Macaca mulatta: one gene and its partner. The protein of the gene in region 1 binds, or shares a complex with, the protein of each later gene. Links are inferred from orthologs where the notes say so. Each region holds a gene or a part of one and is shown on either strand. Other genes may lie near its edges.

Evidence for each region. The genes of interacting proteins can lie anywhere in the genome.
Region 2: EIF3I (region 1) and EIF3L share a complex: the UniProt entries of both Homo sapiens proteins name them as parts of the eukaryotic translation initiation factor 3 (eIF-3) complex. The link is inferred for Macaca mulatta from reciprocal best matches to the Homo sapiens genes EIF3I and EIF3L.

Annotation. Positions count from the first base shown.
Region 1 is NC_133406.1:208,650,778-208,656,694, forward strand, and holds the end of EIF3I (eukaryotic translation initiation factor 3 subunit I), read right to left. Parts: intron 3,966-5,917; coding exon 3,855-3,965; intron 3,736-3,854; coding exon 3,646-3,735; intron 3,328-3,645; coding exon 3,254-3,327; intron 2,839-3,253; exon of another isoform or gene 1,625-2,838; coding exon 1,532-1,624; exon of another isoform or gene 1,437-1,531; coding exon 1,355-1,436; 3' UTR 945-1,354; downstream 1-944. UniProt on the Homo sapiens protein: Component of the eukaryotic translation initiation factor 3 (eIF-3) complex, which is required for several steps in the initiation of protein synthesis.
Region 2 is NC_133415.1:13,661,920-13,668,538, forward strand, and holds the start of EIF3L (eukaryotic translation initiation factor 3 subunit L), read right to left. Parts: upstream 4,420-6,619; 5' UTR 4,389-4,419; coding exon 4,356-4,388; exon of another isoform or gene 4,334-4,355; intron 3,664-4,333; exon of another isoform or gene 3,525-3,663; coding exon 3,476-3,524; intron 2,040-3,475; exon of another isoform or gene 2,008-2,039; coding exon of another isoform or gene 1,959-2,007; coding exon 1,748-1,958; intron 1-1,747. UniProt on the Homo sapiens protein: Component of the eukaryotic translation initiation factor 3 (eIF-3) complex, which is required for several steps in the initiation of protein synthesis.

The sequences.
Region 1 (5,917 bases):
CTGTGGTCTCGATCTCCTGACCTTGTGATCCGCCCGCCTCGGCCTCCCAAAGTGCTGGGATTACAGGCTTGAGCCACCGCGCCCGGCCAAACATCACATTCTTAATTAGCCTTCTCTGACACTGAGGCAAAACTAAATTGGTTTCTCCCTTTAAATAGAACTCCTTAAGAAGTAGGACTTTGTCTTGTTCCTCTTTTATTCTAGTGCCCAGTACAAGATCTGACTGGCAATGTTTGCAAGAAAAAGGAGAAAAGGAGAGGTTATCACTGCTCCAAAGTGGCTGTCACCCTACTAACCAGGGCTGCCCACCCAGACTCCCAGAGGGCATACCTGGGGCTGGAAACTTACTCCCTGCCTTTCTGCAGATGCCCGTGTGAAGTGAGGGCTCGGACGCACTCCCTGTGGTCTTGGCTCAGCCAGCCAAAAGAGCAACAAAGACTCCGGAACCCACTCTACATCCTCAATCCCTTGGCCATCTGTGGAGCCCCAGAGCCTGCGGCTGGGCAAGGTGAGCCCCACACCTTCTCCACGGGGGATTATCCCTCCGCTCAGCGTCCTGACCTGTGTTCCTCCTCCTCGGGCCTGTTTCTTCGCTGGACCCACTCACCTGAGCCTGCAGAAGCCGCATGGGGGAAGAGCGTGGCAAACAGTGACAGGAAGGGAGAAGACAGAAGCCTCTCAGCCAACTACTTCAGCCCCCACCCTAAGCACTGGCTCCTTGGACAGCAACCGAGACATTCCTGAAACCTCTGCAGGCCCCTTAGGACCTTTACACCTTGGAAGAGGATGCCTGCAACCCAGGCTGGCCAAAAGTACGGACGGTCTTAAGTTTGAGGTGTCCAAAGTATAGGGAGGTCTAAATAATAAAAGTCTCCATGATCGGCATCCCCTTGCTGGGGTGTCAGTGAAAAGGAAAGATGATAAAACAGACCCCACAAAATATCTGACCAGAAGCCATTTATTACCAAACCAATTTATTTCTTAGAGTTCAAAACCTTCTGTGAGAATCTTCTCTGGCCCGGATAGAGATCCAGCTTATTATTATTATTATTTTTTTGAGACGGAGTTTCGCTCTTGTTGCCCAGGCTGGAGTGCAATGACACGATCTCAGCTCACTGCAACCTCCGCCTCCTGGGTTCAAGTGATTCTCCTGCCTCAGCCTCCTGAGTAGCTGGGACTATAGGTGCGTGCCACCACGCCCTGCTAATTTTTATATTTTTAGTAGAGATGGGGTTTCTTCATGTTGGTCAGGCTGGTCCCAAACTCCTGACCTCAGGTGATCCGCCCACCTTGACCTCCCAAAGTGGTGAGATTACAGGCATGAACCACCACGCCCGGCCGGAGATCCAGCTTCTCAAGCCTCAAACTCGAATTCGAAGTACTGTGGGTCGAAGTAATGGATACGGACGTAACCATCTTCACCGCCGCTGCTGTAGCTGGAAAAAGATAGCCAGGCACCAGTCAGGTGCCTACTCTAGGAGAGGCAGAGACCCAACCCAGGCTTAGCTCAGCTGCTTCACTGGGACCCTACCTCTTGCCATCAGGATGGAAAGCAACACTGTTGATAGGTCCAAAGTGACCCTTGACTCTTCCAAACTCTTCTTCAAAGGCCAAATGGAAGAACCTGGAGGAAAAGGGACACAATTAATTCACTTTCCATTTCCTTCCAAAACATTTTGAAGGTGGCGCTCCCCAAATGCAAATTGTTATATTTATTTATTTATTTATTTTGAGACGGAGTCTCGCTCTGTCGCCCAGGCTGAAGTGCAGTGGTGCGATCTCAGCTCACCGCAAGCTCTGCCTCCCAGGTTCACGCCATTCTGCTACCTCAGCCTCCTAAGTAGCTGGGATACAGGTGCCTGCCACCATGCCCGGCTAACTTTTTTGTATTTTTAGTAGAGATGGGGTTTCACTGTGTTAGCCAGGATGGTCTTGATCTCCTGTTCTCCTGATCTGCCCGTCTCAGTCTCCCAAAGTGCTGGGATTACAGGTGTGAGCCACCGCACCCGGCCCCATTTATTTATTTTGAGATGGAGTCTTACTCTGTCACCCAGGGTGGAATACAGTGGCGCAATCTCGGTTCACTGGAACCTCCACCTCCTGGGTTCAAGCAATTCTCCTGCCTCAGCCTCCCGAGTGGCTGGGATGATAGACGCCCGGCTAATTTTTGTATTTTAGTAGAGATGGGGTTTCACTGTGTTGGCCAGGCTGGTCACGAACTCGGCTTCTGCTTTATTTTTTGTGATATAATTTGCATTTGAGGCCAGGCGTGGCGGCTCATGCCTGTAATCCCAGCACATTGGGAGGCCGAGGAAGGCAGATCGCTTGAGGCCAGGAGTTTGAGACCAGCCTTGCCAACATCTCTACTAAAAATACAAAAAGCAGCCAGGCACGGTGGTGTGCACCTGTAATCTGAGCTACTCAGAGGCTTAGCGGGAGGATTGCTTGAGCCCAGGAGGTTGCAGTGAGCAGAAATGGTGCCACTGCACTCCAGCCTAGGCAACAGAGTGAGACCCTGTCTCAAAAAATAATAATAAAGCAGAAAAATTGAGATAATAAGTGAATGTGAACAAAATAAGATGAAGTTGGGGGCTGTGGTTCACGCCTGTAATCCCAGTACTTTGGGAGGCTGAGGGCAGAGGATCACTTGCGCCCAGGAGTTCGAGGCCAGCCTGGGCAACATAGTGAGACCCTGTATCTTTATTTTTTAACTTTTTTATTATAAGAGGAAGACCGGACCCAGAAGTCTGCCTAAATTCATAGCTAATACTTATAGAGTGCCTACTACGTGCTGGGCAGTGCTTAAAGAGCTTAATAAATATTAACTGAATAATTTAATCTGCATAATTTTATGGTAAGTATATTGTCACTGTCTCATTATACAATAGAGGAAATATGGGCATAGAGAAATATAATGAAGGCCGGGCACAGTGGCTCATGCCTGTAATCCCAACACTTTGGGAGGCCAAGGTGGGCAGATTACTTAAGGCCAGGAGTTCATTCAAGACCAGCCTGGCCAACATGGTGAAACCCTGTCTCTTCTAAAAATACAAAAATTAGCCAGGTGTGTTGGTGGGTGCCTGTAATCCCAGCTACCCGGGAGGCAGAGGCAGGAGAATCGCCTGAACCTAGGAGGCAGAGATCACACCATTGCACTCCAGTCTGGGTGACAGAGCAAGACTCCGTCTCGGGGAAAAAAAAAAAAGGTGCACCCCATGAGATTTCAATTTGGAAGAGCTCTCTTCCTCTTTACCTGGCCTCAAACTTGCCAATCCTGGTGGAGGTTGTGGTTACATCCATGGCTTCCTGACCACCGCCCAGGACCACCTGAATGGAAGAAGAAACTCTAGATGGGCCCGATGGACACCAAGTCTATTTTCTGTTTTTCTCCTGCCATATACATTTTTCACATCTCACACAGCTCAATGGGAGGATACCAAAGGTAGGGGATGATCAGACACTTCTGCCACCTCCTGCCCGCTTCCCTGGGGCTATTCATCCTTCCAGCTTTGTCACTCCTCTGGGAATCTCCTCTTTGCCTGACATCATTTCCCCCACAATGTTGTAGCCCAACTTCTGGACAAGCATCTAGAACTTGGAAGCTTCCTGAGGCTTTAGCAGGAAGGCTGGATGGGGTTCTCTTACATGGTCATAGTTGGGGGAGAGAGCAGCTGAGTTGACGGGACGTTCTGTCCGGAAAGTCTTCTGATGTTCAAGAGTTGTGGAGTCAAAAAGCTGGAGAGAGAAGGCAAGGGGGATATCTGTAGAAAGAGCCTTCCTGGGGGAAGTCGGGCAGGGTGAGCTGTGCAGCAGGAGGGAGGCAGCAGCCCTGCCAGACCCCTGCCCAGGCTCACCTTGGCTGTGTTGTCCTTGGATGCGGTCACAAACATGGTCATGTCCCTGGATAACTGGATGTCATTGATCTGCCGGGAGTGCTCCTTAACATTCACCAACACCTCTCCAGACTGGGGAAGGAGGAAGAATGAGACTGACTGGGCCCAATCCCTACTAATCTCAGTTCCCCAGAAACCTAAGCACCCAAATGAGAAAGCTGAGATAGCATGGACTTTGTGTTTTCCTCACCCCCTCTATCTAATCAGTCACCCCTAAATATCCCTTGACTCTGTCCAGTAATGTACATCCTATGCCTGATGGCTAGTTCAGGTCCATTCTCCAAACATAACCTGCAAGCGCTGTTGGAAGGAAAATCTGGCCATAGATAACCCTTTCAAGATTCCCTACTGCCTGGAGGAAAATCAAAACTCTTTATCTCCTCACACTTAAGGACGTTTAAAATCTATTCCCTGTCCTCTGTCCCCAAGACTGCATCCCAATGGTTCCTGAAGACTCCATACTTTCTTAACTCTGTGCCTTTGCTTTTGCTGTTCCTTTTGCCTGTGGGATGTTCTTTCCTTCCTGCTTGAAGCTCCATTTATTCTCCAGGGTTTAATGTACACACCACCTCCCTGGGACAGTGCACCTTCCACACCTGGTTGAGACTTCTACGGTGGCACAGTTCACAATCTGACTCAGGTGCTAGCTGTTTGCAAGTCCCTTCCAAGGGGGAAGGGACTGTGTCTGATTTACTTCTTTGTTCTAGGAACTCAGCACAGGGCATTATACTCTGGTGGCAGGGAACTGCTCATTTGTGATCCTTAATTTTTTTTTTTTTTTTTGAGACAGGGTCTTGTTCTATCACCCAGGCTGGAGTACAGTGGCACAGTCATGGCTCACTGCAGCCTCAATCTCCCAGACTCAAGCAATCTTTCAGCCTCAACATCTTGAGTACCTGGGACCAGAGGCACGCTCCACCACACCCAGCTAATTTTTAATTTTCTTTTTTTTTTAGAGATAGGGTTTTCCTGTATTGCCCAAGCTGATCTCAATCCCTGGGGCTCAAGCAATCCTCCTGCTCCAGTCTCCCAAAGTGTTGGGATTCCAGGTGTGAGTCACCGCACCCGGCCTGTGATCCTTATTAACATGTCCTGAGTACTTTGTGACAAGTTTTTCAAACATGTGATATCATTTGATCCTTGAAACATTTTACAGATAAACAGGGTCAGAGAAGTTATGTAACTTGCCCAAGATCACACAGCTAAAAAGTAGTGAAATCTACATTTCAATCTCACCTCTGCTCTTTTTAAAATTTTTTATTAATTTTTTCTTAATTTATTAGAAAATCCCAGCACTTTGAGAGGTTGAGGCGGGTCAACCTCCCAAAGTGCTGGGTCTCACTGTCACCCAGGCTGGAGTGTAGTGGTATGATCACAACTCACTATAGCCCCAACCCCTGGGCTCAAGAGATCCTCCTGTCTTGGCCCCCAAAGGCACTGGGATTACAGATGTGAGCCACAGCATACAGCTCCGCCCTTGCTCTGAACTACTGTGCTATCACCAGTGCCTGAGGCAGGTGGATCATCTGAGGTCAGGAGGTCAGGGGTTTGAGACCAGCCTGGCCACCATGGTGAAACCCCATCTCTACTAAAAATACAAAAATTACCCAGGCGTGGTGGTGGGTGCCTATATTCCCAGCTACTTGAGAGGCTGAGGCAAGAGAATGGCTTGAATCCAGGAGGCAGAGGTTGCAGTGAGCCAAGATCGTATCACTGTACTCCAGCCTGGGCAACAGGGTGAGACTCTGTCTCAAAGAAAAAAAAAATACAGGTGTGGTGGCTCATGCCTGTAATCCCAGCACTTTGGGAGGCGAAGGTGGGCGGACTGCCTGAGGTCAGGAGTTCGTGACCAGTCTGGCCAACATGGTGAAACCCCATCTCTACTAAAAATACAAAAAAAATTAGCCAGGCATGGTGGCGTGTGCCTGTAATCCCAGCTACTCGGGAGGCTGAGGCAGGAGAATTGCTTGAACCCGGGAGGTGGAGGTTGCAGTGAGCCGAGATGGCACCACTGCACTCCAGCC
Region 2 (6,619 bases), on another chromosome or scaffold:
GTGAGAGACCTCGAAGCCACACCTTCTTTGGCTGGAGGTGTTCAACCTCTGAACAAGGTTTTCTCCCTTTCTCTCTCCTGCTTACTAACGAACCCCCAGAACAATTCTTCTCAGTCGTAAGTGACTCTTCCCCCTGGCTGATCTCTCAGCTCAACCTAATGGGTGGCAGGGGTGGGAAGGACCTTGGGGTCCACACCAAGTAGAACTTAGGCTCAGGACAGTGGCAAGGGTGAAGCCTAAAACCATGCAATGTCCGAGGTTTCCTTTGCTTTTCAACTACAATCAGCTCTTTCAAAACAACAAAAAAAGAAAACATATGTCAGAGATCCTACTCATTGATCCAATAGGCCTTTGGCGATTTGCTTTCTCTCCCCCATCCTTCTGACTTGCTTAAATTCTATTTCCTTGGTGAAGTCACTCCTGACTATCCCAGCTTCGACTGATCTATCCTATCTCTAATGCCCATTACACAATGGCGGCCCCTCAAAACCTGCAGAGTTCAGCTTGCTCTGATATGCATTGAAGGGCTGCATAGCACAGTTTAGAAATTAGGCTCTGGTACCAGACACTGCAGGTTCAAATCTCAGCACGTCCATTAAACTAGCTACATGACTTATTTCTGTGCTGTCTCCTCATCTGTAAAATGAGAAAAACTCCTACTTCATGGGGTTACTGTGAAGGGTAAATGAGTAAAAAAACAGGAAGAACACATTGAACATTGACAGATCTATCCTGGTAATAAAAATAAATGCTAATCGGCCGGGCACGGTGGCTCACGCCTGTAACACCAACACTTTGGGAGGCCGAGGCGGGCGGATCACAAGGTCAGGAGATCAAGACTACCCTTGCTAACACGGTGAAACCCCATCTCTACTAAAAATACAAAAAATTAGCCGGACGTGGTGGCAGGTGCCTGTAGTCCTAGCTACTCGGGAGGCTGAGGCAGGAGAACGGTGAGAACCCGGAAGGCAGAGCTTGTAGTGAGCCGAGATCAAGCCACTGCACTCCAGCCTGGGGATCAGTGCGAGACTCCATCTCAAAAAAAATAAATAAATAAAATAAACGCTAATCACTATTATTACAATTGTTAATAGTGATATTATTTTAGGCTTTGTACAAATTTCTGAGGATATAAAGTCCAACAGGCCGGGTATGGTGGCTCACGCTTGTAATCCTAGCACTTTGGGAGGCCGAAGGGGGTGCATCACTTGAGGTCAGAAGTTCAAAACCAGCCTGGCCAACATGATGAAACCCTGTCTCTACTAAAAGTACAAAAATTAGGCCAGGCGCGGTGGCTCACACCTGTAATCTCAGCGCTTTGGGAGGCTGAGGTGGGTGGATCACTTCAGGTCAGGAGTTTGACACCAGCCTGGCCAACATGATGAAATTCTCTCTCTACTAAAAATACAAAAAAAAGTAGCTAGGCGTGGTGGCACATGCCTGTAGTCCCAGCTACTCGGGAAGCTGAGGCTGGAGAATCACTTGAACCCGGGAGGCAGACGTAGCAGTGAGCCGAGATCTTGCCACTGCACTCCAGCCTGGGCAACATATGACACTCCGTCTCAAAAAATAATAAACAAACACATAAATAAAATAAAGTCTAACAAAATAAAATGTCCCTAGCCACAAGGACTCACAAAGACCACCCCCCCAAGCACTGTTTACAAAGTGCTCGCCCCATTTGTAGGAACTGTAATACCAGGCCAGTCCCACCCAGAAAGAGGGCCTTTCAGCCAGTAGTCCATACCTGTTCTCATAGATGTCCTGGATCTCATACACCTTCTGGTCAATGACATCGCTGGAGACACGACTGGCCTGTAGCTCATACACTTTCTGGTCAATCAAATCTGAGACAGTTTTGTGGAAATACTGGATGAAGTTTTTGATCACCTCAGGGATCACCTGATAGGTCTGCTGTTCATACTGACGTTCATAAGCAAGGTCCTGCTTTGGATCTCCTGGAGGTTGGATAAAACAAACACAGAGTGCTTTCAAACCCACATACATGATAGAACAAAATGGCAAGACCGCCCCAGAAACTAAACTCAGGTCTGAGTAAAATTCCCTTTTGAACACTCAGAGATACAAACATCTCAAGTCACTCCCAATCTCATTGTCCCTGTTTCTTCAAAAATATTACCACGACTTAAAGTTATTTTTCACTTATTATCTGTTTTGCACCCTTCTCCCAAGTCTAGGAAGTCGGAATCTTGTCTGTCTTGTACTCAGATGTACCCTCAGGGCCTAGAAAAGTATGAGTTAGAGGGGAGAGAGGCAAGACTGTTGGAATGTAAGTGGTAACAGGTATTTAATATTTCTTGAATGAATAACTGTCACCTTCTAAATATATGACTTGTGGCAAGTTAGTATTAAATCTCTGTGCTATATTTTCTCTTCTTTTTTTGTTTTTTTTTTTTAAAGACAGTCTCACTTTGTCCCCCAGGCTGGAGTGCAGTGGCATAATCTCCGCTCACTGCAAGTTCCCGCCTCCTGGGTTCAAGCCATTCTCCTGCCTCAGCCTCCTGAGTAGCTGAGACTACAGGCGTCTGCCACCATGTCCGGGTAATTTTTTTTTTTTTTTTGTATTTTTAGTAGAGATGGGGTTTCACCGTGTTAGCCAGGATGGTCTAGATCTCCTGACCTCGTGATCTGCTCATCTCCGCCTCCCAAAGTGCTGAGATGACAGGCGTGAGCCACCACGCCCGGCCTATTTTCTCTTTTTTAGGAGACAACAGTAATGTACAGAACCGCTGTAAGAATTAAACAAAATATTGCATACAACGTACTTAGAACAATGGATAACACTGACTACTAAGTCCAGTCACTGTAACATTTCAGGAAACCTCTCAAAAGATTTCATCTGGGCTTGGTTTGAATTAAATTTTTCACATCAAGATTTTCTTCTTTGGGCCAGGTGCAGTGGCTCACGCCTGTAATCCCAGCACTTTGGGAGGCTGGGGCGGGTGGATCACCTGAGGTCAGGAGTTTGAGACTAGTCTGGACAACATGGCGAAATCTCGTCTCTACTAAAAAAAAAGTAAAAAATTAGCCGGGAATGGTGGTGGGTGCCTGTAATCCTAGCTACTTGGGAGGCTGAGACAAGAGAACTGCTTGAATCCGGGAGGCGGAGGTTGCAATGAGCAGAGATCGCATCACTACACTCCAGCCCCGGGGAGGAAAGAGGGAGACTCCATCTCAAAAAAAAAAAAAAAAGGTTTTCTTCTTTGGCTAATAGTTTACACAAGAAAACCATAGCCCGGTAAGTAATCCTTCTCTTCCAAGACTGAGGTGGACTATGATAAAAAGCCTGGTTTATTAGGCTTTATACAACCCCACGCACCAGCAGGTAATGACTGACTCCAAACCTGGACCACCAAAGAACAATTTTTAACAGGTGCCTGTCAGAGCTGGTTCTAAGACATTCCAAAGGAACCGATCCCTACGAGTACTCAGCCAGCCTAAGCCGTGGTCTCACCTGTGTGCATATCATAGTCGCTCGGATAAGCGTAGGGGTCATAAGCCGCCTAGAAGGAAAGAGACAGTCAGGAAAGTCGCCAACTCGTGAATTCAAAACGCTCATCCTAGAGTCTAGATGCCAAGCAGAGAGCTAAGGATACAGAGGCGGATAAGACACTGTGCCTGGCCGGGCGCGGTGGCTCAAGCCTGTAATCCCAGCACTTTGGGAGGCCGAGACGGGCGGATCACGAGGTCAGGAGATCGAAACCATCCTGGCTAACACGGTGAAACCCCGTCTCTATTAAGAAATACAAAAAAACTAGCCGGGCGAGGTGGCGGGCGCCTGTAGTCCCAGCTACTCGGGAGGCTGAGGCCGGAGAATGGCGTGAACCCGGGAAGCGGAGCTTGCAGTGAGCTGAGATCCGGCCACTGCACTCCAGCCTGGGCGACAGAGCGAGACTCCGTCTCAAAAAAAAAAAAAAAAAAAAAAAGACACTGTGCCTGCCTTTGAGGAACTCACACGCCTTAGAGAAAAGCGACAGTAAACAGACAATGACAATACATTACGGGTGCAAAGGACAAGAGGCTGTGGGAATCAGCGAGATTTGACCTGACGGAGCCCACACCAAAATAACTCAGGTGCAGAAACACAGAGATGTCTAACAAGCCTTGGTCTCCGGTCTTAGCAAGGGGAAGGACAAGGGAACCGGACACGCGAAATGGGCGGGCAGAGCCAGGGTTGTCTAGGGGCCGGGAACAGAGGGAGCAGCCTGAGGGCCGCGCGGCAGGTAGGCCGGAGCTGGCCGCGGCCCAGAAGCTGCCTCGCGCCGGGACCCACATCCAGAGGTCCCACAGATCTCCCCGGCGTGAAGTTCACCGCGCGCTTAGGGCCACCTTACCTCCGACTCATAATCATCAGCAGGATACGACATGGCTACCGGGCTCACAAGCACCGCCGGAAAGACCGAAACGAGCGGCCCGCGCCTGCGTCCTGAGGCCGGAAGTTCGGCCCCCCTAGGGCCTGCCGGGAAACCGGAAGCCTTTCCGAGGCCGCTGGCCATCTGAGACAGCCATATCAAGAAGGAAGAGGTTCCGGGCTCGGTGGCTCACGCCTGTAATCTCAGCACTTTGGGAGGTCGAGGCGGGCGGATCACCTGAGGCTGAGGTCGGGGGTTCGAGACCAGCCTGACCAATGTGGAGAAACCCCGTCTCTACTAAAAATACATAATTAGCCGGGCGTGGTGGCGCATGCCTGTAATCCCACCTACTCGGGAGGCTGAAGTAGGAGAGTTGCTTGAACCCGGGAGGCGGAGGTTGCGGTGAGCCGAGATCGCGCCATTGCACTCCAGCCTGGGCAACAGGAGCGAAAACTCCGTCTAAAAATAATAATAAGAGGGTTACAAGTAGCCTGAATTTTCTTTTCTTCAAATAGAGGCTTCTCAAAGAAGGTGAATCTGTGATACTAGTGTAGATTCAGATATAAAGACACGTATTTGGGGTAAAGGAGGGGCAAAGTTACAGAAACCAGAAAGAATGCCACACAAAAGATGGCCGGCTTCTCGCGTGAAGGGAGATTCGGATACGGGGACCTGATGGATTTAGTTGTAAGCGGTTTGCCTGCAGTGAGTAAATTATTAAAACGTTCGGACTTAACAAGACTAAACTTACTGGGGATAAAAGTTGAGATTTGGCCGGGCGCGATGGCTCATGACTGTAATCTCAACACTTTGGGAGGCTGAGGCGGGTGGATCACCTGAGGTCAGGAGTTCGAGACCAGCCTGGCCAAAATGTCGTAAACCCCATCTCTAGTAAAAATACAAAAATTAGCCGAGAGTGGTAGCGTCCGCCTGTAATCCCAGCTATCCAGGAGGCTGAAGCAGGAGAATCGGTGGAACCCGAGAGGCAGAGACTGTAATGAGCCAAGATCGTGCCACTGCACTCCAGCCTGGGCGACACAGCAAGACTCAGTCTTAAAAAAAAAAAAAAAAATTGAGATTTGGTCCTATGCAGTAAGAGGGCATGGAAAACAGGAGCCACCCAACTTTGGACATTAAAGTTGGAGTAGGCAAAGACGAGGCCAGCTGTGTCGCGAAGCCTGGGACAGGGGCAGCTCTTGAGTACACCGGGTTCGAGTCTGGGGGAAACCGTCAAAGTAGAGATGGGGTTATAAAACAAACCAATAAAAACCAGTGTATGAGTCAAGGAGGGACCTTAGTTCCACCACTGATTTCTTGTGTGACCAGGACTCTCTGGGTCCCTTTGTCACGCTGCCCTCCTCGCTTTTCCCACTGAGGCACACTCCACCTCTGGGATTTTGCACTCACTGTTATCCAAGTCTAGAATCGAATGCAGCGGTGCCCCCACTCCCATTCCCTTCCCCATTGGATATCTGCGTGGCATCTTTAGGTGTCTGCTCTGATGCCATTCACTCGACCTCCTATTTAGAATTGCAATGCCCGGCCCCAACTCCCTATGCTGCGTTATTGCTTTCTGTTTCTTCCTTGCGCTGTCACCAGAGGTGATACAAATTTGGAAATAATGGAGCTTAAGCTTTACAGACCTTCGATTTGGTTCAGGACCCTCCCTGAACCAAGGAAGAATCCCAGTCTCATGTCCTCATGGTCCTTTGCTTTTGTAAAATTTGTGAAATATTTTTATTGCGGAAACCACCTTTGCAAACATTATAACAGTGAGAAAATAATGACAGTGAAAGAGATCTGATCTAACCAACCCTCATCTTCCATTTAATCTCCAGACTGCCCTTAATCATTCCTGGCTCAAACCAAGCTAACTTTGGGAGACATTTAGTTTCTAGTTTTTTTGTTTGTTTGTTTTTTGTTTTGAGACAGAGTCTGGCTTTGTCGTCCAGGCTGAAGTGCAGTGGCCACATCTTAGCTCACTGCAAGCTCCACCTCCTGGGTTCAGGCCATTCTCCTGCCTCAGCCTCCCAAGGAGCTGGGACTACAGGCACCCGCCACCACGCCCGGCTAATTTTTTTTTGTATTTTTAGTAGAGCTGGGGTTTCACCGTATTCGCCAGGATGGTCTTGATCTCCTGACCTCATGATCCACCCATCTCAGCCTCCCAAAGTGCTGGGATTACAGGCATGAGCCACCGCGCCCAGCCAGTTTCTAGTTTAAATGATAACAACCAGTGGCTGGGC